Linked DNA regions of Caenorhabditis elegans. The protein of the gene in region 3 purifies or fractionates together with the protein of the main gene of each other region. This does not show direct contact. Each region holds a gene or a part of one and is shown on either strand. Other genes may lie near its edges.

Region 1 (7,642 bases), on a different chromosome or scaffold from region 3:
ATAATCACTAATCACTTGTGAATCACATAAAAAGTCGTGATTTAATCTTTAAACTCTTCATAATCTAGCTCCGGGAGCTGCACTTTTGGGTGAGGATTGAGTGGAATAATAAACATTTTGTATTTAGCATTTGTGATTTTTTATTGCCTTTATTCAAAAAAAACTTCTGCGTTTTTTTGTATCTAAAAAGTTCCACATTTTGATAAAAATAGCAAAATTCCAAACATTTTTTGTCAAACTTGAAAATTCAAAAATATTTTTTCAGAAAAATAAAACTTCTTCTGGAAAACTAGCGCTCTTAAATTTTTTTAGGTTTCTAATATAAAATAGCGAATTTTTTTAAACCTGAAAAATTATGACATTTTTTATATGGATACTGAAAATTGGTTAGGCAAATTGAGTAAATCAGGTAAATCTAATCAGATATAAAGCAATCATGGTTTCTAGGTCGTGTAGATCAAAAACATTATGAAATTTTTTCAATAAAAATAGAGAAAACTCGGCCACCAGTTTTTTTTCGCGGCCTCGTGGCAAATGGCTTTTCTGAAAATTTTGGGGTGTTTAAAATTTCTAGCAGATCTCAAAACTCTGTTTTTTAGAATATTTTTTCGATGCACCATTTTTCTTATAGAAAATCATGCATCAAAGTCGAATTTTACGCCGATTTTCACACGCAAACATAATTTTTTAATTGAATTGTCCCTACTCTGATATTTGTGTATTCTACGAGGTACAGTACTCCCGAAAATTTGGAAAAAAAACTTTGGAAAATGCCAGCATATAATTCAGTATATAAATAAAATTAGATTCCCTCTTATTTGTCGATGCACCATGAGCACTTTGCTATAACCAGTAGGCAAGCAGGTAGGCTGGTAGGTAGGCAGAGTATCTCACTCCAAACGCCTTCATTCCCTGCCAAATCTAATCAACTAGCACGCCAAAGTTCAACTATATATATATTTATTATATGTTTTCCCTCCCCCTGTTTTCATTCTCAATCTTATTAGCTAGGCAGTAGGCGTCGTGTCTGCGTCTCTTTGCCACCGTTCCAGCCGTCTATCTCTCCACGATTTCTTCAAATGCTCCGCGTGCTCCGGGGGGGTGTCTTAATGAGAATTCGATGGGGGAGAGGGGGCTCGGAGCTCTCTGTGTTGCTCCATTTCTGGATTCGGTGCTCTTTTCTGTGTGCGCGTCTGCGTGTCCGGCGCTCGGCACGCTCTCTCACTCGTCCATATTTCTCCGAGAAGAGCCACACGACGTCTTCTGCTTCTTCTTCTTCTCCGTTTCTTTTTTAGTTTTCAAACACTCCAGCAGAGCACTTTGTGACTGCCATCGAACCCCTTCTCTGATGACGTCGCTGGGCTCTGTGCTCCGATGGGCTCGCAACGGCTCCAAGGGCTTCTCAGTCTTTTGGGCCAAAAGGTTCTTTGTGTGATAAGATGTCATTGAGCACATATATCTCTCAAGTTATGACTCGTTTGGCTCTGCGGAGCCCGTTAGCTCCGCATCAGCTGTCATTAGTTCCGGTTAGGTTGATTTTTTCTTGCAAGTTCTACCTTTTTCTACTTTTTTGTGCGGTTTCACTTTGTTTTTGCAAAAATTTTAGACTGAAAAAATGGATTTAAAAATTTGTTTAATTTTTTAAAAGAACTTTCAAGTTCCCTCCAACCCAAAAGGTTCAAAAATACTCAAAATTATTGTTTCTAAAAAAATTATTCAAAATTTTTTTTGGGCCTTCCATTTATTTTACTAATTCTGGTTTTTCAAAAATTTTCAAAACGTTCATCTGTTAGGAAATGTATCCCCAAATTATTTTTCTAAAATTTTTAAACTCTGTCAGTTGATTTGCGAAAAGGCACGATTGCAACGTAGTCTACCAAGTTATAAATTTGTTTTAAACATTTGAAACATTTAAAAATGCCGGATTTTTTCTAAATTTATTTATATTTTAGCTTCAATTTCCCGGTATATAGTATTACCTTTCTTCTGATTTGTATTTTCTAGAAAATAACAAAACACATGTTTTTGTTTCTAGCAACAACAACGAGAAGAAGCTGATTCATTGTGTTGTGTCATGGACACACAACCTGGTTCCTTTTTATTTTACTTTTTCATATAATATCTCTACAAGGCTTTGGAACATAACTTATTTTCAAATATTCAAGTTTCCCGCTTTTCATCTGTTTATGCAATGGCGATTAGCGGCTATTAAAAACAACTATCATGGTGCATCGAAGAACTTTTTTGAAAAAAAAATCCCACCCATATCTTGGCTTTTGGTAGCTTCGACATCGTAATTTTTAGTACTTTTTTTGAGTTTTTATATTACACATCACAATTGTCTAGTGAAACAAGTTAGTAGAATATTTTTCGCAAGCGAGTTCTGACCTGAAAAAAAGGAGAATGCTCCGCAGGCTCCTGGAGCTTTACCGAGAACATTTATCATTTTTCTTCTGTCTTCCCTCTTTCGAGTATTAGAGACTCTGAGAAGATGAGGATTTTTCAGTCAAGAAACGCAGATTTGTGGCCAATGATCTTTTGAACTTTCTCAAAAAGGTTCTATCTTCAGTTTTAACTCCGCCAGTATATTGGTTTCTTGTAAATTATCTTATTCCAGAAACCCAGTACCTCAACTCTCCAAACTGCATTCCCTGTGATCCTCGTCTCACTCCCGGACGTTGGAGCAATTCTCGTCACAACGATCGGAAATCCGGCTGCTTTTGCCACGAATCACCGCTTCACACAATCGATGAGGTGTAATGATTTGAAAGTGAGAGCAGTTTCTTGAAAGAAAACAATTAATTTCAAAGTACTTCACTGAAACTCATTTCCGACGGAAATTGAAATGGAAAATTGCTCTTTCTCGAATATTTTCTCCGTTTTCATGTTGGCAATGTAAAAATGTATGAATAGTCCTTGAAAACTTTGAATTATTTCTGGAAATTCAAAAAAATTAAAATAGAAACTAACTTATCAAACCTTTTTAGCGAAATTGGAAAAACGTAGAATCTAGGAAAATTGTACTGTAATTTTACTGTTTCAGAAAAAATAATTATGTACAAAAAATGCCATTAAAAATCTTTTCATCAAATTTTGTTTTCAGCTAATAAAAAAATACTGCGGCAAAAAGCATTTCTCAACAAAAAATAAGTCCAATTTTTTCAGCGTGCCGTGGAAGATGTAGTCCTTCGTCCAGATGAGAATCGTCTAACCGATCTTCATCACAGAGACACCATCGCAGCCTTAGATCTTTGCCAACTGGAACCTTCATCGCCAGCTCCACGACCAGACGAAATATCAGCATCCACAATGAACGCGTGCTCTTGTTCCAGTGAAATAGTCGGAATTCAAACATCTTCTACAGTAATGGCAGATTCAACACGTCCACCACCTCCATTATGTGCAAGTTCTTCCTTAGACGCTATCATGTTCCGGCAGCAGCCTATCCCGTCCCACAGGCATTCGGCAAGCGGGTCTCGAAGGCAATCGAGGGTTTATTCGAATTTACATTCCAAGAGGAAGAGGAGTAATTCGTTAACTAATTATAATAAGGGGTAAGTTTTGTATATTTTAAATGAAAATAATTTATAGTTTGATTTTTTTCAAATATTCACTTATTTTTTCCACAAAAAACTGACAATTTAAAATTAAAATTACAAAAAACGACGATGTTTCCGATTATCTGTAGTGAGAAGTTAATTGTTGAAATGTGGCGCGTTGAACATGGTGCATCGATTTTTTTTTCATTTTTGCAGTTTAGAAATTTTTCAATTGAAAAAGAAATATTTTTGAAAATAATGGAAGAACATGATTTTCAATTTTTAATTTTAAAATTCACTTTTTTTTAAAAATTAGTTGAGTTGTATAATATATAACTCTCAACAGCACAAGTTAAAAAAAAACATTTTCAGTCAATCTCTGTCAGTTTCTCTTCCACCATCAGCTCGACATACACCTCATCGATTTGTGAATGAAGAAGATGCATTTCGAAGTAAGTTTTTGGTATTTTTTTTGAAAACAAATCAATGAAAAATTCTGGAAAATCTTGAAAAAAACTGTAATCAAAAATTTACTCATAATTTGGAGATTCTGGAAAAAAGTACAAAATAAGATTGAGCATTTTTCGTATTTGATAAAAAATAACACCGCTTTGAAAATTTTTTTGCATAATCTGAAAATATCTTTCTGAAAAAATTGAGTAACTTCGAAATTTAGGAAAATTTTTTAAAATATCGATATGATAGACTTGAAAAATTCTGAAAATTCGAAATATGAATACATCTGCATGTGGCCGAGTTTTTTCTTTCGCGACCACGTGGCAAATGCCGACTCCGCTACTCAAAAATTCAAATTTCCCACCATTTCCAGACTCAATGGCGTCGTCTGATTCGCATTCTTCAGTCGCTCGTAGTGATGAGTACAATAATGGTTACGTACTGGAAGAGGAAGAATCAGCAATTCGTAGGTTTTTCTTTCAAAAAAAAATTAATCAAAAATCTCTATATTTTTACAAAAAAATTCAATTAAAAAAATTTTCTTTGAAAAATCACCCTTGACCAATTCGGGAAAAAATAATGGTTAGGAATTCGTTTTTTTTTTAAATATATATGTGTGATAAAATTTTTTGTCAGAGAATATATTTTTTTTAACGCTAAAAATTCAAAAAAAAACATACAAAAAAGTACGATGTAATTCCCTGTTGTCGCAACGCTCATTGTTGAAATTGGGCCCGTCAAACATGGTGCATCGATGGAGGTACGCAAAATTTTGTTATATTTTTTGCTTTTCGGAAAAATTTGAACTAAAAAAGTAATTTTTTGGATAATTTTGGAGCATTAAAAAAAAGAAATTCTAGAATAAAAAATAAATTTTCAACAAAAAAAAATTCCAGCTCCAGGAGCTCCACCGGATCCTCCCTCTCTTCTCCACTCAAATCACTCAACATGCTCATCATCATCGTCATCGAATCCGTTCACCTCTTACCGTCAACCCAGAAATGAATTTGACGATGATATGATGGATTGCGACTAATCTAAAAAAAATCGAAAAAAATTCCGTTTGGAATTTTTTCTCCAACTGTTCACCTAGCTTAACCTTGCCGTTTTTCAAATCCATGTCATAAGTTTACATCCACTTTCTCATCCAATTGTAGTCGTTTTCCATCAGATTCTCGTCTAGAACACCGGTCCTGTCGCTCCCCCTTTTCCCCAAACATTTGTCATTTTTTCCTGAATTTTCGTTTGCTTTTCTTTGTGATTTTATGTTAAACTGCTTTAATATGTTGTGCTATCATAAGATAATAAACTTATTTTTTCTATGAATCGGAAATTAAAAAATGTTTTTTTAGAAAATAATTTCAGAAATCTTACAGGAAAATTTTTCAGCCGGATGTGTTTTTAAACCTCATCTTTTTGGTCAACTCACAAGACAATGAAAGTTCAACACTGACATTTTTTGCTGTGAGTTAAAAAAATCTCGGAAAAATTTTCAAACTTAGTAAATGATACCTCAATATTTAGCAAGTTCCCCACTCCAACCTAACATTACTTGATTCGTTGAACTTGCAAAAAAAAAAAATAATAAATCAAATCAAAAGTACATTGATTTATAGTTCATTGTACCCAACCCGGAGAAGAAGACAATTAACACTCGACCCATTGTTCATTAAAGATCACTTTTTATTACTTTTGACCCCAAAAGAGAAAGTGGAGATGCAAATAAATGAACAAAGTGTTCCCTTCCGGGAATTTGTGATACTTAGAGATACAGTTTAAGGCGACCTATTTATGCCTCGTGCCTGCACGCGTGCCTACATCCTCAGAGAAACATTCATCCGATTCTTTGAAATGAGAGGTGTATGAATCTAAGTTGGGCAAAAATCAGAAGCCAGAGTTATTGTCAATAGGCGGTAGAAAGACATGAAATCATGCAGGCAGGCACGGAGGTAGACCTACCTACCAAAAAATTGGCTTTCAATCTGATTTGAAATTTATTTAAAAAAAAACGGCCTTACAAAAATCACAATTTTAAAAGATTATTTTTACCGTTTTACATTTTTATATTTTGTCTATGTCTTTCGTGCCTATCTGCGTGCCTACGCCTACTGTGCCATCAAGAATTTTATATTTGCCAACTCAAAGTATTCGCAAAACCTTAAATAATTAAATTTAGATACCTAGTATTTTAGAACGTAGTTATAAATATATTTCAAAAATTCAAAAAAAATTTCCTCGAGCTTCAATTTAATAAAAATCATCAGTCACGTCATTCTTCTACCACAAGCTAGCATCAGCTTCTATTACATCACAGCTCTTCCACAACTTGCCACCAGCGCCTATCACCTCAAAACTCATCCATTAGCGAGCTACAATCTCTAGTGACGTCACTCCTCTTCCACGAACGGCATCTAAATATAATGATGTCACTTCTTTCCTACACATTACCAAAACTTTCTACTTCAAGCACTTGTTCTAATTTCAAAACTAATCTCAACTTCCGCTACCTTATTCGTCAATCACAAAACAATTTCCCTTTCCAGAAGTATTCGAAATTTCCATTGATATATAATATCTAATCGTCGGCCTCTCCGCAGGTTCAAATCCTAATTTGAATGATATTTGAGAGATGAGATGTATATATCTCCTTTTTATGATGTGCGGTATCTTTGAAAATGTTCAAATCTTTTCCTCTCGTGTTTCTCTGCGTCTCGTGTATCTCTGATCTTCTCACAATCAGCTATTGTAAAGTATATCACAGTGTCCAAAACCTTCATGAGAATCGCTGACCATTTCTTCCTTTGTCCCTATTTTATTGAAATTTTATAGCTTATTTCTAATCTAGACTGACCTTCATTTTTAAACGAACTTGCCCATATCATTTGTGTTGTAATGTTGATTAAGAAAGTTTTAGGTTAAAAAACTTTTTTCTTGATTTGAACGTTTTTCTTCCTTATTATAATTATGAAAATTCAAATTTATCCAAACGTAATCGGAGAAAAACTAGACCACGTGTGTTTAATACAGTGGTCGCGGCTAATGAGGTGGTTATGATCGTAGATAGTTTTAGACCTCGTTTGAAATCACCCCTCTTCCAGGCGCACCTTAGAACCATTGCTGTCGGCGGTTATGCTAGGCCATATGTAAAGTCACGAATTTTCTCCGGCCGGCAAAGATGTTAGACGGCCGTTACTGCAAACCCTAGGCCATGAAAAAATAGTACGCAACTTCTCCAATTCACCATTGAGCTACCTTGTATCCATTAAATACTTTGAAGTCTAGGCAAAGGAGGTGACTCATTACACGTGTTTTGCCGAAATATATCGAAGCAAAACTAGTTTTTCATTTGGGTGAAAACGACGAAAAGATAATTGATGTTTTAGATTGTGATGATATGAAAATTTGTGATTAAAAAAATGATGCAATTGTGATTTTTTAATTTTTGTTTTCTTGAAATCGGTCTTGAGATTTCAGAAGCCTAAAAATAGCATCGAATATTTTCACGTGGCTACAAAAATTGGGTTGAATTAGGTCATATGTTGTAGGGGAGAACCTGTTTTAAGTAAGATTTATGGGGGTTTTTGGGGGATACCCTTTGATTTTTTGGGAAAAAATTGGCAAAAAGTTCAGCGGAAGTTTTCGAAATT
Region 2 (7,675 bases), 3.3 Mb from region 3:
CAATTCCAATATTTTGTCATATTAGATTGAGAAATGGGGTTTTGTTTATTTTTAGAAATGTTTTTATCTAAGTAGATGCTAAATCTAAACATATGAAACGTGTGCATATGTGTGATATTTAAGTTGATTTATATCAATTAAATTTCTATTACTTTAAAAAATGGATTTTAAGAAACAACAAATTCACCAAAAATTCCAGAAACTGTGTTCTTTTTGACTTATCTAAATGCGAGACATTAAAATAACTGCCACAACATTTTTAGGCATACGATCTCCTTTTGGTGTTTCAATTCTTTTCACATTATTTTTTCTTTCATATTTGCAGATTCATATAAAATGAACAAACCTGATTCCAGTCGGGAAAACTCGCGATTTCGTCGGACTGGGCTCATATTCTCCACTGTCAACCAATTTCAAGCGCTCCTCATAATCGATAAGTTTCTTCTGAAAACAAGAGGGTGAGTATTTGAAAAATTTTGTATGGTGCCAAATTGGCCAAGTATCATAATGAAAACGTAACAAATAATGTTTTATTTACTGTCAAAAAAGTGGAAACTCCTCAGTTTTTGTCACTCATAGTGTTAAAAGCAAACAAAAGAAGTTGACTATAAAAATTTCTAATTGAAGATGTTTTAAAAATTGTTAAGTCAAATTTGAAAGGGTTGGAACATGCAACATTGATATGTATTTCCGGAAAAGCATACTTTTGAAAAATTTGACAATATACCATACAATTTTAATGAGAACTTTAAAAAGCCTAAAATTTTTGGAGTGGTCAAACATGAAGTTTCGGCATTTTTGACTACGATAGGTGTATTTAACTAAAATTTGCATTGGCTACCTAACCTTTTATGTGTGTGTTTTTTTTCATTATTTGAGCTACATAGGTAATAGGAAAGCCACCATTTACCAAGAACGTAATCCTTCAGAAAACTGTTCTAATTTATTTTTTCAATTTTCTACTTTCAAACCCATCAGTTTTTACCTGAAGCATTTCAGTCTCATGTGCATGTTTTCTGTTCTGCCTCTCAAAATTGTTGCGAATACGGGCTCTCTGAGGGTTATCTGCTCCAACTCCGCGAGAGATTTCTGATTGTCGCGTTATGGAGAGAAACTTTTCGACGTCAGCTGAAAAGTTGTATATTTATTTTAAATAATAGTATTAAAATTCCACTTACCCTCACGTTTCTCGTTCAACGCCCGTAGCTTGTCTTTGATCTCAATTAGCTTCTGCACAATCTTCGCCTTCTCTCGCTCGTCTCCAATCGAACTGCATGTTCCCTCGGAAGATTTTAGACTCGCCGAGTCTGTTGTCATCTGGAACAAACGCATTTTGGAATAACAGAATATAGTAGTGTAGGGGGAAAAGTCGAGACGAGTGTTTTACGGGGGCGAGAGAAGGACAAGTGATGAGACGAAGACCGATTTGAACGTACTGATTCGAAATCTGATATCGAACAAAGGAAAAAAGAAAAGCGAAACTAGCGAGGGTCTTCTCTTGTTGCTTGTGTTGCCCTATGATGCCCCTGTGTTGCCCCGCAAGCTTCAAACCCCCAAAGAACAGGCTACAATTTTCGTTCTGCCAAAATGTAGGCCTATCGACTCTTATCAAACTTTTTCTCTAAAAGTCGGAGAATTTCGTTGAATTTCTTATCGGTATAATGAAGTTTGGAATATATAGTTGTGTAATATTATGTACATACCTTTCCTACATACCCATCATTCATCATTCGAATGACTATAAAAACAGTAAAATCGAACAAGATTTGGTTTTTTTTTTCTTTCTTAATACGACAATACAATATGATTTATGTATTTGTCCTTGTGAAAATTGTGATGGATGGAATACAAATTATTTACCAAGGAATTTAATGAGAAACATGTCAAATGATTTAAAATATAAACGTAAATTATAACCACCAACTAAATAGTTTTCTAACAATTGGTCATTTCAAAGTGGCTGAGTCACTGTATCACGAGGTGTGAGTGGAACTTTTTTTCTGAACATTTTGAAAATAAAAGAATGTATGTCTCATCCGACGCCATTATATTAATTTTTCATCGATTGAAAAATGTGGAAATGGGGAAAAATGGTTAAACATGTAGAATGCACTCTGGAACTTTGTGCTATTACAAAATTTAAACAAAAATGTTGAGATCGAAATATTTCAGCTTGAAAAAGTCTGAAGAGGCGGGAAATCAATTTCACGTATTTTGTTTGGACTGTAAAGACGCTCTATTATTAGTTTTAGACGGTTTGTTATACTTTTTAACATTAAAACTAAAACTTGAAAGAAATTTAGAAAAAGTATGCAAAACAAATAAGGACTTGCTTTTATTTTTTTTTTGAAATTCCTATTCATTTTTGCTATGACCTAAAATATTTATATAGTTACATGATTTATAATATATGATGACCAAATATGATAATAGAACTTATCAAAAAACTTTGGACAAAATCTTATTTCGAGTCAGAAGCGGTAAAAAGTTATAATCTCTACAATGCGGAAATTATTGAATATAAGTATTTTGAATATAATCAAAGCACAAAACTGGATGAAAAAATATTTTTGAAAAAATAAAAATAGAAAAAATATATAAATACTGAGTTTTCACAGCTTTTTTACTCAAAATAAAAAACATTTTCAAAATTTTTTTAAAGTTTTATTATGATATTTGGTTATTTTATAAAAAATATATTAAATTCATTTGCTACAAAAAATGTTTTTTGGAAAAAAAACATACAAAATTTGTTCAGCAAGAATTTGCGCGGGTATTCAAATTTTGAGAAAAAAATCCGGTTAATTATTTGCACTTATTACGACAAAGTTTAAAACCCAGTAGTTCATTCTCCAGTAAATTTTCAATTCACATCACTATTTCGTAAAGGGAGCTGTGAACGTAATTAATCGACTTTTTGAAACATTAAATTGGCAAATAAAAGGAATATAGTTATGTTTGCCCAAAAGAAATCAAAATAACAAATTGAGGGCACAACTAAACGTAGAAACGTTGAAGAGTATGTCAACACTTGTGGGGTAGCCTCCTCCCGAACGCGGGGGTCTAATGCGGCGCAACCGTAAAAAGTATTGAGATACACATCAACCCGAAAGGTTAGAGGTGGTAAAAATGGTCAAAAGAACAATGGTGACAAAAAGCGAGTTGACGAGAGGGGAGATATATAGGCAACCTGCTCATCTGTGAAAAAAACGATTGAAATGTTTTTCAAGGTCTTTGCACTCACACCTCACTCAAACGCGCCAAACATAATTCATGACGACGATCTATGAAGCGAAAAAGCAAAAAAAAAAGAAAATGCCTTTTGCAGTTTTTGTTCTTCTCGACAACTTTGAACTACACAGAGCAAGCAGCGGGAGAAGTGCAAGTATTCCAAAAGTATGTAAAAGCCATCCATCTATGGGGCAAGGGTTGAAAGATGAGGGAAGAAAGAAGCGGGGGGCAAGAAGACGCTTTGGTGGTGAAATAGGGGCGTCGATGTCAATCAAACCACTTTGGAAGATTGACTAAAACACTCTTTTCTTAGTCAACAGGAAATGGAAAAGAAATCGAGCGCCGCGTTTTGATTTTGCCTAGTTTCGGAAAAACACAGAAAACTGCAGGAACGCGGAAAATCAAGATCGAGGCGCGCGAAAAAACGGCTAGGCGACGAAGAGAGGATTGGCCGGACGCGAACGGACACACACACTCATTTGTACGCAAACTGTGGTCGTAATAGGTGGCAAGGTTTCAAGCTCTGAATTCTTTTTTGCAGGTACGGAAGTGGTGAACAAAAACATAAAATAGAGCAAAACTATTTCCTATTGTCCACCTTACTGTCTTATATGTAGTCAATGGAAAATTGAAAAAGCACATAAATGTCAATATACAGGGGGAGACGTTTCTCTTATCATTGCACCGTTGACCATCATAGTCGGAAATGGAGTTGTTATCAAAGGGTAAAGTTCCACTTTTTTGAGTTGATTAAAACTGGTTAATGTTTGATTAATTATGAGAACATTCTAGTGCGGTAAAACGTTTTTTCAATGAAGATCTCCCCCTATCGGATTGCAGTTCAAAATCAAAGTTTTTACATCAAGAAAAATAAAAAAGTGTGAAAATTCTATTCTACAGTTTGTAAAACAGTAATCCACACGGCCAAAAACGGCCAAAACAATGAGAGGCATATAGGAGAGGAAAAAATGTTTTTGCCTTCTAACTGAGCATTGTGATGTCTGGTGAATCAGACAGAGAAAAAGAACACAGTAAACAAGTTTCCGCGCTTCAATTAGCTCTTTTGAGATATTTTCACGCGAAAAATCAATATAAATTGATATACATCAAGTGAATGTTGAAATTGAACCATAAATCATATTGTTTTTAATAATTTAAAAATAATCATTTTGTGATTAAATTAAAAAGAAAACACTTTTCTTGCAATTTGAGGGAAACGACAGATAAAAGAGAAAAAACCATGATGATAATTAGAAAAGGAGTATAAAGAAGGAAATTATTATTTCAACATAAAAACTTTTGGAAAACTATTTTGCGCAATTAACCCAATAATAATAGCATTAATAACAAAACAAAAATGCATATAAAACCATACAAACTCGAAAAAAAATCGATAACAGCTAAGATGGATTATAAAAAGAGCAAATTGGCTCGTAAAACTAATAATCGAGCGGTATTGGCTATTGCGGTGCACAGAAAATGGCCGGATTCCGGGTGGTCGGCAGACAATGGCTAATACGCGCAGTACGCAAACACGCGCACGCAATAATGCGTACCCCCTTTCGCCATGCTTGTTCACCCCTCTCTTACCACTAGTCCTTTTAACTCGGACAGCTGTCCAATGCGGCGATCCCTCATTAGAGTTGGTTTGTCGTTCTGAATTGCATGAAATATTGTATAGATGTTGTAATATGAGGTTATATCAATGTTACAAAGGATTTTAAGTAAGGAAAAAAATCTTCTTTTCATTAATGAATTATAAGATATTGAATTCACTAGATGACCATAGAGCACACAAAGACACAGAAGGTTCAGAAAATAGTACACAATAGAATGAAAAATAATTAACAATATTTTTTTACAGGGAGTCTCGAGTTATCACATCACACGACTGGAAATTTATTGGACTAAATGTTACAACTAAAAAAGATTAGAGATGGGGAAAAGGAGGCGGAGACTAGAATTTATACACTTTGGCCAGTGTACTTTCACCTATATGTTTGAAAAAATTTAGTTCATACATCTTGAAGTTTTTAGATAATGATGATAATATTTTCTAAGGAATGATTGATATTGCAATGGAATTTGAAATTGTTTTTATCATATTTCAAAATCAGTTTCAATTTTCATCATTATCTTAAAATAGTTATATACACATTATCATGCATCTAGAAAGGACCGGTAGAAATGTTATTTGAAAAGCAAAATGTTTGAAAATAGTGAGTAGAACGCGATAGAAGTCTGGATGATCATCCTGTCCATAATAGTATTATAATCGAAACAGTTGGTTGGTTGAGTTGATAAGCCTCCCTCCGTTTGCACTGAACTCGTTGTTGTTTTTGTTGTTGTTGTAACGGATTATAATTAATCTAGCAATGATTGTTCGTAGGTTTGAGAACTGAACAAATACAGATTATTATTGAATGTTATGTATTAATACTGAAAGCCACTCACGGTTTCTTCAAAAGTTTCTGATGGGGATAGTCGGTTTGGTTGTTTGATGATTCATCTGAAACCAATCTCCTCGACACATTGGCATCTGAGTAGGCTTTTGTCAGGAATCTGCAAGATTTTCTCAACTCAAGGTTTTGATTTTTTCACAAAGATGATAAAACGAATGACTCACTGCTCATCAATTTCTTGCTCATTGTTTTCTTTATCTTTCCTATCTTCTTTCGGCGATGTCTCCACATCATAGCTATCAAAATCCGAGTTCAAGAGCAGATAATTGTGTGAATTGGCAGGCCGGAATTTGTAGCCAACGATGATGAAAAATGCGAAGGTAACCATTTCGACTGCAGCGACAATGGTCCATTGGAGGTTCACAGGCATTAAGTGCTGAACGGGAATAATTATGCACACATATGTATGATTAAAATTAGAGTAGGAGCCGGTGACGATATTGTTAGAACACGCTCCTAGGTTACCAAAAAGACCGAATATCATAGTAAATCTTTTACAAATGTTGAATTCATAGTCAAAAAGTGACATTTACTGAGATTTTGCCATTTTTTTTGGCACTGTCCCAATCTATACTTACATTGTTTAAAAACCGATGTTTGAAACATACGTAGACTATAAAATCCAAAGGTAGTTTTTTTTTTTGACCGACCACTTCAATGAAGTAGTAAAACCTGAGTAATTACCAGTTTTTGAAACGAAATATCAAAAATTTAAAAAAATTGTATAAAGTTGTACTGTGATATTTGGAATTTTGGCACCACAAAAGTGGGGTTTCAACACTTTTCCCACTGGCGCTGGCTTGAAGCTAAGAATTTTTTTTGTACATGTTTAATTGTTATAATTCTAAAACTCACGAGTAATATGAAGCCAAAAAACCTCGTGCAGTAGATGTAGACGACAACGAGAATATAAAATTGTCGAAATAAACGTAGTTTTTCCAAATTGGCTGCGGCTTTTCCATCTGTAGTGGCTCCCTCTACCAAGTGTTGAATTGACCTAAAATTTATAAAAAAATAATTAAATTTCAGTATTTCCAGTATCAGTGTTATTTTTCTATCAAAATTGGGTTATACGTATAGGATAATCTTTTTTACGAAACCTAGTACAATTTTTCTGATTAGTCAGTTTGTTCTATGTTGTTAATATTTCAAAAAACCTGTTGAATTTTAATTTCAATTTCTAGTCAAAATGATCCTCCAAATATTTTAAATAGATTTTATCTGAAATCTTACCAAACAATTGGAAAAGCGACTAATGCGCAGCAGAACAGATCCAAGATGACAAATAACTTTAGCCAAGTTTCATGATTCTGTGTTCCAATTTCACTTTCGTTGAGGATGATCAGAATGATGTTGTCGATAACCTGAAAACAAAAACATATTTGATTATTTACGATATGATGTTTTACCTGAATTGGCAAGACAAACATGAACACTTTGCGGTCTCGGTCAGTTAAAAACTGTTTAATGAACGTGTAACCAGTACCTATCAGGATAAGAGTTCCGAAAAGAAGCAATCCTTTGAGCCTGAAATTTATGTTTGGTGTTTTTTTTAATAGTTTGCAATAATGCAAATTTGAAAAAATTGTCCAAAACTCTCACTTACAAATGCGTAATATAATAGAGAACAGCCCAAATCTCTTTCTGCATTCCATACTTGCTTAGGAAATAATAATTGAGACCATGGAAGAACACTGACAATGCTTTTAAGAAAACAAGCACCGCCATAAATTTGTGCACTCGATATATGTTTTCGGAGCTGTAAATTGAAACTTTTTACTGTAATGTAAAAATATTTGCATACTTTGATCTGCATAACAAGTGTGACCAATAAACAGCAAGTCCAAAATACAAAATGGACATGTACAGGTAGATTTCTGGCTTGGCGATTTCTTGAAGTGAAAGATAAGAATGTTTGTTTCGTTCCACCAAGTCGACTGTCAGATCCACTGCCACTCGGTCGCTGAAAATAATCCTATAAG
Region 3 (6,825 bases):
TGTGAAAAAGCTGATTTCGTAGTTTTTTATTATCAGACTGCCAAGCGATATCAATTACAGTCAATCAACAAGTACAATACAAAAGTCACCCGCAATAAATTTTGATAAGACACACAGGTAATACTTTCATTGAAACTGTCCCTTATTATTGAATGAACTTTACAGTGATTTCAAAGAGTCTCAAGAAGACAGTCCAACAATGCAATTCCTAGCTGAAACAACAAATGTTGTTGTTGAAAAAGCACTTTCAAAAAGCACAGGATTACACGACGCTTCTGAAGAAGCGGGTTTACGACGAACAAAGAAAAAGAAGAAAAAATCGAGCAAAAAACTGCCAAATAGGTAATTTATATCATTCGTTTTTTTTTTGTTGACAGCGATCATTTAGCATATCAAATTTGGAAAATTCAGTAGAACAAACTTCTAAGGATATCGAATGCAATCAAGTCGGAGCACTGGAAACTATCAAGAAAGATGAAAAATTTGAAGAAAAAGACCAGATAGTAGATTGTCAAACCAGAAACTCAAAGTTAGTGAATGTCATACATACAGTGCAGTGCAGGACCCCCTTATATTTTGGAAGTATTGAAAAAATCCAAACTTTTTGTGGAAAACTATTGTGATATTTCGAATCAAGGTGTTAAAAAACCTATAATCCAAAGTTTTCATGAATTTTTCAGAAAAATTGAAAGCACCCAAACAATATTTCAAAAATATGAGTGGGCACTTGATATAGGACCCCCTTGAGGTTTTTGAAATTTTTTTTTCAAGTTTTAATAGAAAAATTATAATTTCAAAATTGTGTTCGACTGCGTGTTTGAAAAAATTGTCATGGTCTGTATTTTTCAGAAAATAAAACAACATTTACGATAAATTCTTGAAAACATGGAATTATAGGTATCTTAACTTCTGGATACCAAATATCACAATAGTTTTTCGCGAAAATTTTGCAGGGGTCCAATAGTAAACTTGCTGTATTTATAAGTAACAATTACATAAAGCACTTTGATAAAAACGAGCAATTGTTCATCGAATCACTTATCACATGCACTCCTAAGACGTACTTATTGATACTTAGAAGTTTGCATCTTTACATATTATTTCCAGAAAAGATCTCGAAGAATCTGAAGACATTGAATCATCCACTCACTACATATATCCAGAATCAAGAAATTTGAAATCAAACTTGCAAAAACTGACAACCGATATATCCACAGAAGAAAAACAAATAAGAGAGCGATTGAAATTGGGAGAGCTTGCAAATGTAGACAATGGAGTTCTGGAAGAATTTATATCAAGAGCCAATGCAGTCCTAAAAGAAACTGGAGCAGTTACGATGAGAAAAACTGCTGAAGCAGAGACCAACAAATATTTAACAACTAATAAAGTAGCGACAGTGGATTCGATGGGTACGATTTCAAACGAGCTTCTGCAAGATATTTGGCCAAAAACGAATAAATGGAGACGTGTAGCTAGGTTGGCCAATTTACACTTCTTAAAATCAAGGTGAATTTTCAGAGTTGAAGACAATATCGAAGACTCGGAGGGCAGTAAGAAACTGGATAAGGAAGTGGAACGAGAAGTTCGGGCTGCAATTAAGTCTGCCGGGCAATCATTGAGCAAAAAACAAATTGGGCAAATTCGGAAAGCGGCAGTTGCATATTTGAGTTTTGAAGATTCAGTACAAAGTAATGTTTTAATATGGAGTAGCGCCAGTGTGGGAATTTTTAAAAACCACTTTTGTGAGATTATATGAATAGTAAAGCTTTTCACATTTTTTTGAAAAAATGTTATTGACAGTCAAAAGTCAAAATTGGCAGTTACTGAATTTTTGTCACTTTTTGAGTTTTTAACTGTCGCATGTTAGAATCCCTACACGTGGTGTCAGGATATCTCCTTACACTTTGATCTACAAAAAATGCGGAAGTATTTTTCCAGAAAAATTGTGACATCAGCACGCTCTGAACCATGCAAAATCAGATGAGATTTCTGCGTCTCACCTCCCGCATTTTTTGAAGATCAAAGCGAAATGGGACTTTCTGACTCCACGTGCCCCTACAATATTTAGGTATTAATATTTGAAATATAAGTAGACCAAAAAATAGTAAAATATATTTTTTGATCGACGAGTTCCTGAAAAGTGGCAAAAACAATTTAAAAAAAATTCAAAAAATCATAAAAATTTAAAAAAATTTTCGATGTTTTTTTTTAATATTATGATACTTGGTCATTGTGATGCCATAGGCATATTTAAAACAACTTTTCCACTGTCGCTACCTCACTTGTATAATTTAAACTTTATAATGATCACTTGACATTTCAGAAGAATTGGAATTTCGCAGCAATAATACTCTGAAACTGGTGCAATTAGTTTCAGCATACGAAGCTAGCAATAAAATGGATGAACTTATGTTATTAAGACTTGCCATCGCATTTTGTACAAAAAGGCGAGATTTCTTTTTGGAGGTAGTTTATGAGTTACCAAAAAATTGTACTTAATAAGTTTTAATAGGCCCGTCCTCCAAACTTCATGCAATTTACGTACATGTATATTTATCTACTGGAGAAGATCAACTCAAGAACCGCATTGATATGCGCATGTCTCAACAATCAAATTAGGAATGCCGATAATTTCAATGAACTTGAAGAGTTAATGCTGAATCTGTTCCACGAGGATTATTTTCTAGAGAAGAATTAGAGTGTTTTATGATGATATTTCAAATGAAATGTTTTGTTGATGTTTTTTAAATTTAGTTTCAGTTGAATTGTTAATGAAAATAATGAGGTTATTTACGTAGTGTTGGAAAATTGAAAAGTGTAAGAAAATTAGGTCACAACTGTATTGAAATACATGCAAACATAAATGTATTTAATTATATTTTGCAGCATTACTTAAATAACCCCATAAGTCTTATTTACTTTAATTACCGTAATAATACAATACTACTTCTCCTAAACCTGCCAAAATGCCTTTATTCGTGTCGACAAACGGTAGGGCAAGTATATTACACAAGAACGGTAAACTTTTATCTACACATCAAGGCAATTTTACACCGATCAGATGGTTGAATCATTGTTGAATCAATTCTGCACACTTTGATTTTTTTTTTCATCTAAACGCGTTTATCCTTTCGAAAAAAAAATTTTTCATTGACTATTATACTTTGGTTATCAAAATTCACAACTATTTCAATTTTCTTATCAATACTTGATTCATTGAATTATTCGCAATCAGCGAAAAAATATAAAAATTTCCTTTCTGCAAAAGTTTCCACAAAACTACTTCACATTCGATGAGAAATTCACATTATTTGAAGACTCTCTTCTTTTTCTTCTTTTCCTTTTTTCCCATGCTACTGCTTGCGTGCCCACTGCCAGCTATTTGCCCGGTGTTTCTTCCTCGACAGAAAGTGCGCCAGGGTGTTTCTGCTGGCGCGTTGTTCGTCGCTTGCGCAAATATTGACGTAGAATCAATTGCCATCCATGCTCATCGCATCTTTATCGGGCATTTTTTTTAATTGTCGTAGTTTCCGATGTTCTTTATGCACAGCAACGCTATTTTTTTTTAGTTTTGAAAAACATTTTCAGGACTATGGAAGACAGAATCGTCGCTCAAGCTCATAATGAACTGGAACAAATGTTAGACATCTTGACAAGTGAGTTTTGTTTTATTTAAATCCGTTTTACAAATAAATTATAATCGTGAAGGAGAATAATCAATTTTCGTTAGTTATTTTCAATGAAAGAAATCAATTAGCAAACAAATGTATTTGTTAGGTTTTTTAGTTTTATCAAAAAATTTGAAATGATTATTTTTTTGATTATTCAAATGAGTATAACTAAAAAACCTGAGGTGTTATTGAAAAACCTTTAACTAGCAAAATATCATTTATATTAATGTATATTTAGTCTTTAAAGTTAAAACCATTCAATCGGAAGTTGACCAAAAATAAAGCGGCCGACATCTCAGGAGTTTTGTTGTTCAAAAACAAAACTACTGGATTTACAGATAAAACCTAGTTGAAATTAAAAGAACCGTTAGTTATTTTGAAAAAATATTCAAAAAAAATGTATATATAAATTGTAATCCTGACATTTCGAATTAATTTTATTAATTCAGACAGTTTCACAACAATGCGAGATCTCCTCGAAAGATCAGGAAACCGGCGAAATGATCTGACGCGACGAATCCAGGAAGTAAATGTAGAGTTTACTCGCTTCCGTGCGAATGGTATGCGAAATTCGTTTGAGCGGAATCTCGCCCGGCAGGAGGAGGAACGAAGGATGCGAAGAAGGTTTGTCGTTTTTGTCGAGTTAAAAAAAAACGTTAAATTTATTTAAGGACGGACTCTGACTCTTCTACGGATTCGAACGATAGCGATTTTGACCTAGACTTCATCTATCCAGTCGACTTATGGCAATTTTCGTCGCCTTCAGCAAGTGGTGATTCGAATGCATCCAGGAATATGGCAACAAGTTCACCACCTGAAAGCCAAACATCAGTTCAACAATAAGTTTTTTTTTTCAAATATTATAATTTTATGAATTATATAGAAAAGAAATTAGTAAAACATTTTTTGACAGCTTTTCTAAAAAAAAAACTAAAAGGGAAATCCTTTATTGCCGGCACTGTAGGTACCAAGTCTGTGCGGCAACCGGCAACCGAGTTGCCGGTTGCCGAAAGTCTCGGTTGTCGCACAGCTCTACTAGGTACTAGGTATGCAATCCTACTACAGGCTAATATGAGGAAAATTTGGCGATTATTGTCATTACTTTTCAGAACTGCTGACACAATAGCTGCTTCGACATCAACTCCTCCATCTACCACCAGCAATATAACTCCTTCTAGACCAACCACTAGGTAAATAACTTTTTTGCTTCAAAAATTCATTAATTCATTAAAAATTTACTTTCAGTGAACAATCAAACACAATCAAAAGAAAAACCGCGTTTGAAAAAGAAGATGCTCCACCGGCGAAACGATCAATGGCCACATCCACCGATGATGCGTATTTCTCTAAATTTTAAGTCGAAGCGCAAGCGACTATGTTCCACAGAACTCGGAAATCGACAGCTGCTGAAATCATTTACCCCTCGTGCAATACTACTTCAAAACTCAAATTCTTCAAATACTCGACTCAGAATTTCCTGATTTAATTGCACTGAATTATTTGGCCTCTCACCCAATTCTTTTAACCTGCCCAATGTTACCCATCCCGAACTTCCAGTGTTGTCTGGGTTTCCACTCAAAATTACTATGTTCTTATTTCCCGATGTAATAACCATTTCTATTTGCTTTATAAATAGATTCTTAAAAAATTCTAGATGTTATATTAAAAGTTGAGTACGTTCAGTGAAGAAATGGCTGAAAACCATTTCTGGGGTGCTTAAATGACGTCACAAAAAGGTGAAAACAAGGTTTTTATCAACTTTTTAAAACTTTCTTTAAGTTATCTATCAAAAAAATGTTAGTGGTTTGAACATGCTTAAGTTCTTCAGACTTTTTCAAAAGTGGCGCCAACTCAGATTTCCCTGCTTTTCGGCTCTTGCTTAGACACCACCCCTCCTTAATTACAGAAAATGCAAGCACCTCACCGCAGCGTGCTCACATGCTCCAAGCAAAAGCATACTACTCGTGCTCATTTTCTCTTAATTCCTCATGCTCTCTATGCTTAGGGACATATGAAGCGACGCCGTATTCTGAAGAAACGACGTGTGGTGACTCCGTCTTCTGCTCTCCTCGAACACGCTGCGTCTCAATGAACTCTTCTTGTGCACCCTTCTAGAACCGTCGTCCCGAATAGAAGAATTGCTTTGTCCTTTTAATATTTCTACGTTTGCGTTTTGTTGTTTTTGACGAATGTGCATCCAAATCAAACTGGAGGTTTCATCAGAGTTGGTCCGAAAAGTTAAAAGCTATGACTCTCATTCTTTAGAAGGTAAAATGATATATTTTTTTTCAAACACATGTGTATTTTTTCAGTTCTGTGTGACCAAGAAATCAAAAACCGCATTGAATATCTCGAAACAGTAGTGAAGGCTTGGAAAACGTATAGGAAAGTGGAAAATGAGCAGCGTCACACACTGTTCTTATTGCTATTGTCAGGAAACAAAGACGCTTTACATGATTATGAGAAACTTGTTTTGTACGCTAAAATGATTGAGAATGATCAAAATGAGCATGTCGGAGATGTCAGTATTGCAGCAAATCAAGCAAAAATCACGGATAGAGAGTCGACAACTTCAACGTGAGTTCTTTGATGTTTGAAATAATGAGCTAGAGAGCGAAGTTATTTTTTTAATATTTTTCCTACGTGAATTTGTGAATTTGTGAGCTCATTTTCACTTTTCTAAATGCCTTAAAACCACACTGAAAATCATATTATTGAAGCTGATTTATACAAACTGTCTGAACCAAAATAAAATAATATTTTATATTTTACAGAATCGAACTTGGCGCAGAATCAGACTGCTCAACGGTTGCAGAATCCGACTCATTTTCTCCAATTCCTCATCAATATAACGGTGGAAACCAAACGAGTCAATGTGGAAATGTAATTTCTACAGAAATATCCAAAAAAGTAAGTAATGCCGCTCCTTTTAAAAATGTTTTCTTGTTTCTTTTCAGCTTGTTGAAAAATCAGCTATCTCCAGCCACAAGAATTCAGATTCTATTGTCCAAGCGGAGTTTCCCGAGGATGAAACCGTTATGGGTGCATATAATAACAGTGATTTATCGAATAAAATTGCTTTCACGGCCAGTCAATTAAAAAACGTTTTGGATGACGCAGAAGTTCTGAAAACATTTCGTTATGAAGAAATCAG

What was found.
Region 1: the proteins of C14A11.9 (region 3) and K10G9.2 fractionate together in Caenorhabditis elegans (co-fractionation; one large-scale study listed by BioGRID). This does not show direct contact.
Region 2: the proteins of C14A11.9 (region 3) and C15H9.4 fractionate together in Caenorhabditis elegans (co-fractionation; one large-scale study listed by BioGRID). This does not show direct contact.

The regions. Positions count from the first base shown.
Region 1 is NC_003281.10:10,283,306-10,290,947, forward strand, and holds K10G9.2 (Bestrophin homolog), read left to right. Parts: upstream 1-2,617; 5' UTR 2,618-2,749; coding exon 2,750-2,770; intron 2,771-3,165; coding exon 3,166-3,554; intron 3,555-3,911; coding exon 3,912-3,991; intron 3,992-4,368; coding exon 4,369-4,461; intron 4,462-4,891; coding exon 4,892-5,031; 3' UTR 5,032-5,316; downstream 5,317-7,642.
Region 2 is NC_003284.9:6,094,859-6,102,533, reverse strand, and holds the start of C15H9.4 (Transmembrane and coiled-coil domains protein 2), read right to left. Parts: upstream 4,892-7,675; 5' UTR 4,822-4,891; intron 1,506-4,821; exon of another isoform or gene 1,369-1,505; intron 1,318-1,368; coding exon 1,179-1,317; intron 1,129-1,178; coding exon 986-1,128; intron 445-985; coding exon 347-444; intron 1-346. Other genes in the region: C15H9.5 (GOST seven transmembrane domain-containing protein), read right to left, coding at 5,596-5,629, 5,686-5,793, 5,858-6,069, 6,549-6,690, 6,927-7,057, 7,103-7,220, 7,300-7,452, 7,498-7,656.
Region 3 is NC_003284.9:2,806,399-2,813,223, reverse strand, and holds C14A11.9 (DASH complex subunit DAM1), read left to right. Parts: upstream 1-3,586; 5' UTR 3,587-3,592; coding exon 3,593-3,656; intron 3,657-4,120; coding exon 4,121-4,295; intron 4,296-4,342; coding exon 4,343-4,510; intron 4,511-4,780; coding exon 4,781-4,861; intron 4,862-4,916; coding exon 4,917-5,028; 3' UTR 5,029-5,170; downstream 5,171-6,825. Other genes in the region: C14A11.6 (ANK_REP_REGION domain-containing protein), read left to right, coding at 37-117, 166-342, 389-529, 1,108-1,476, 1,519-1,688, 2,324-2,466, 2,513-2,698; C14A11.5 (Death domain-containing protein), read left to right, coding at 5,861-5,939, 5,984-6,248, 6,446-6,581, 6,629-6,825.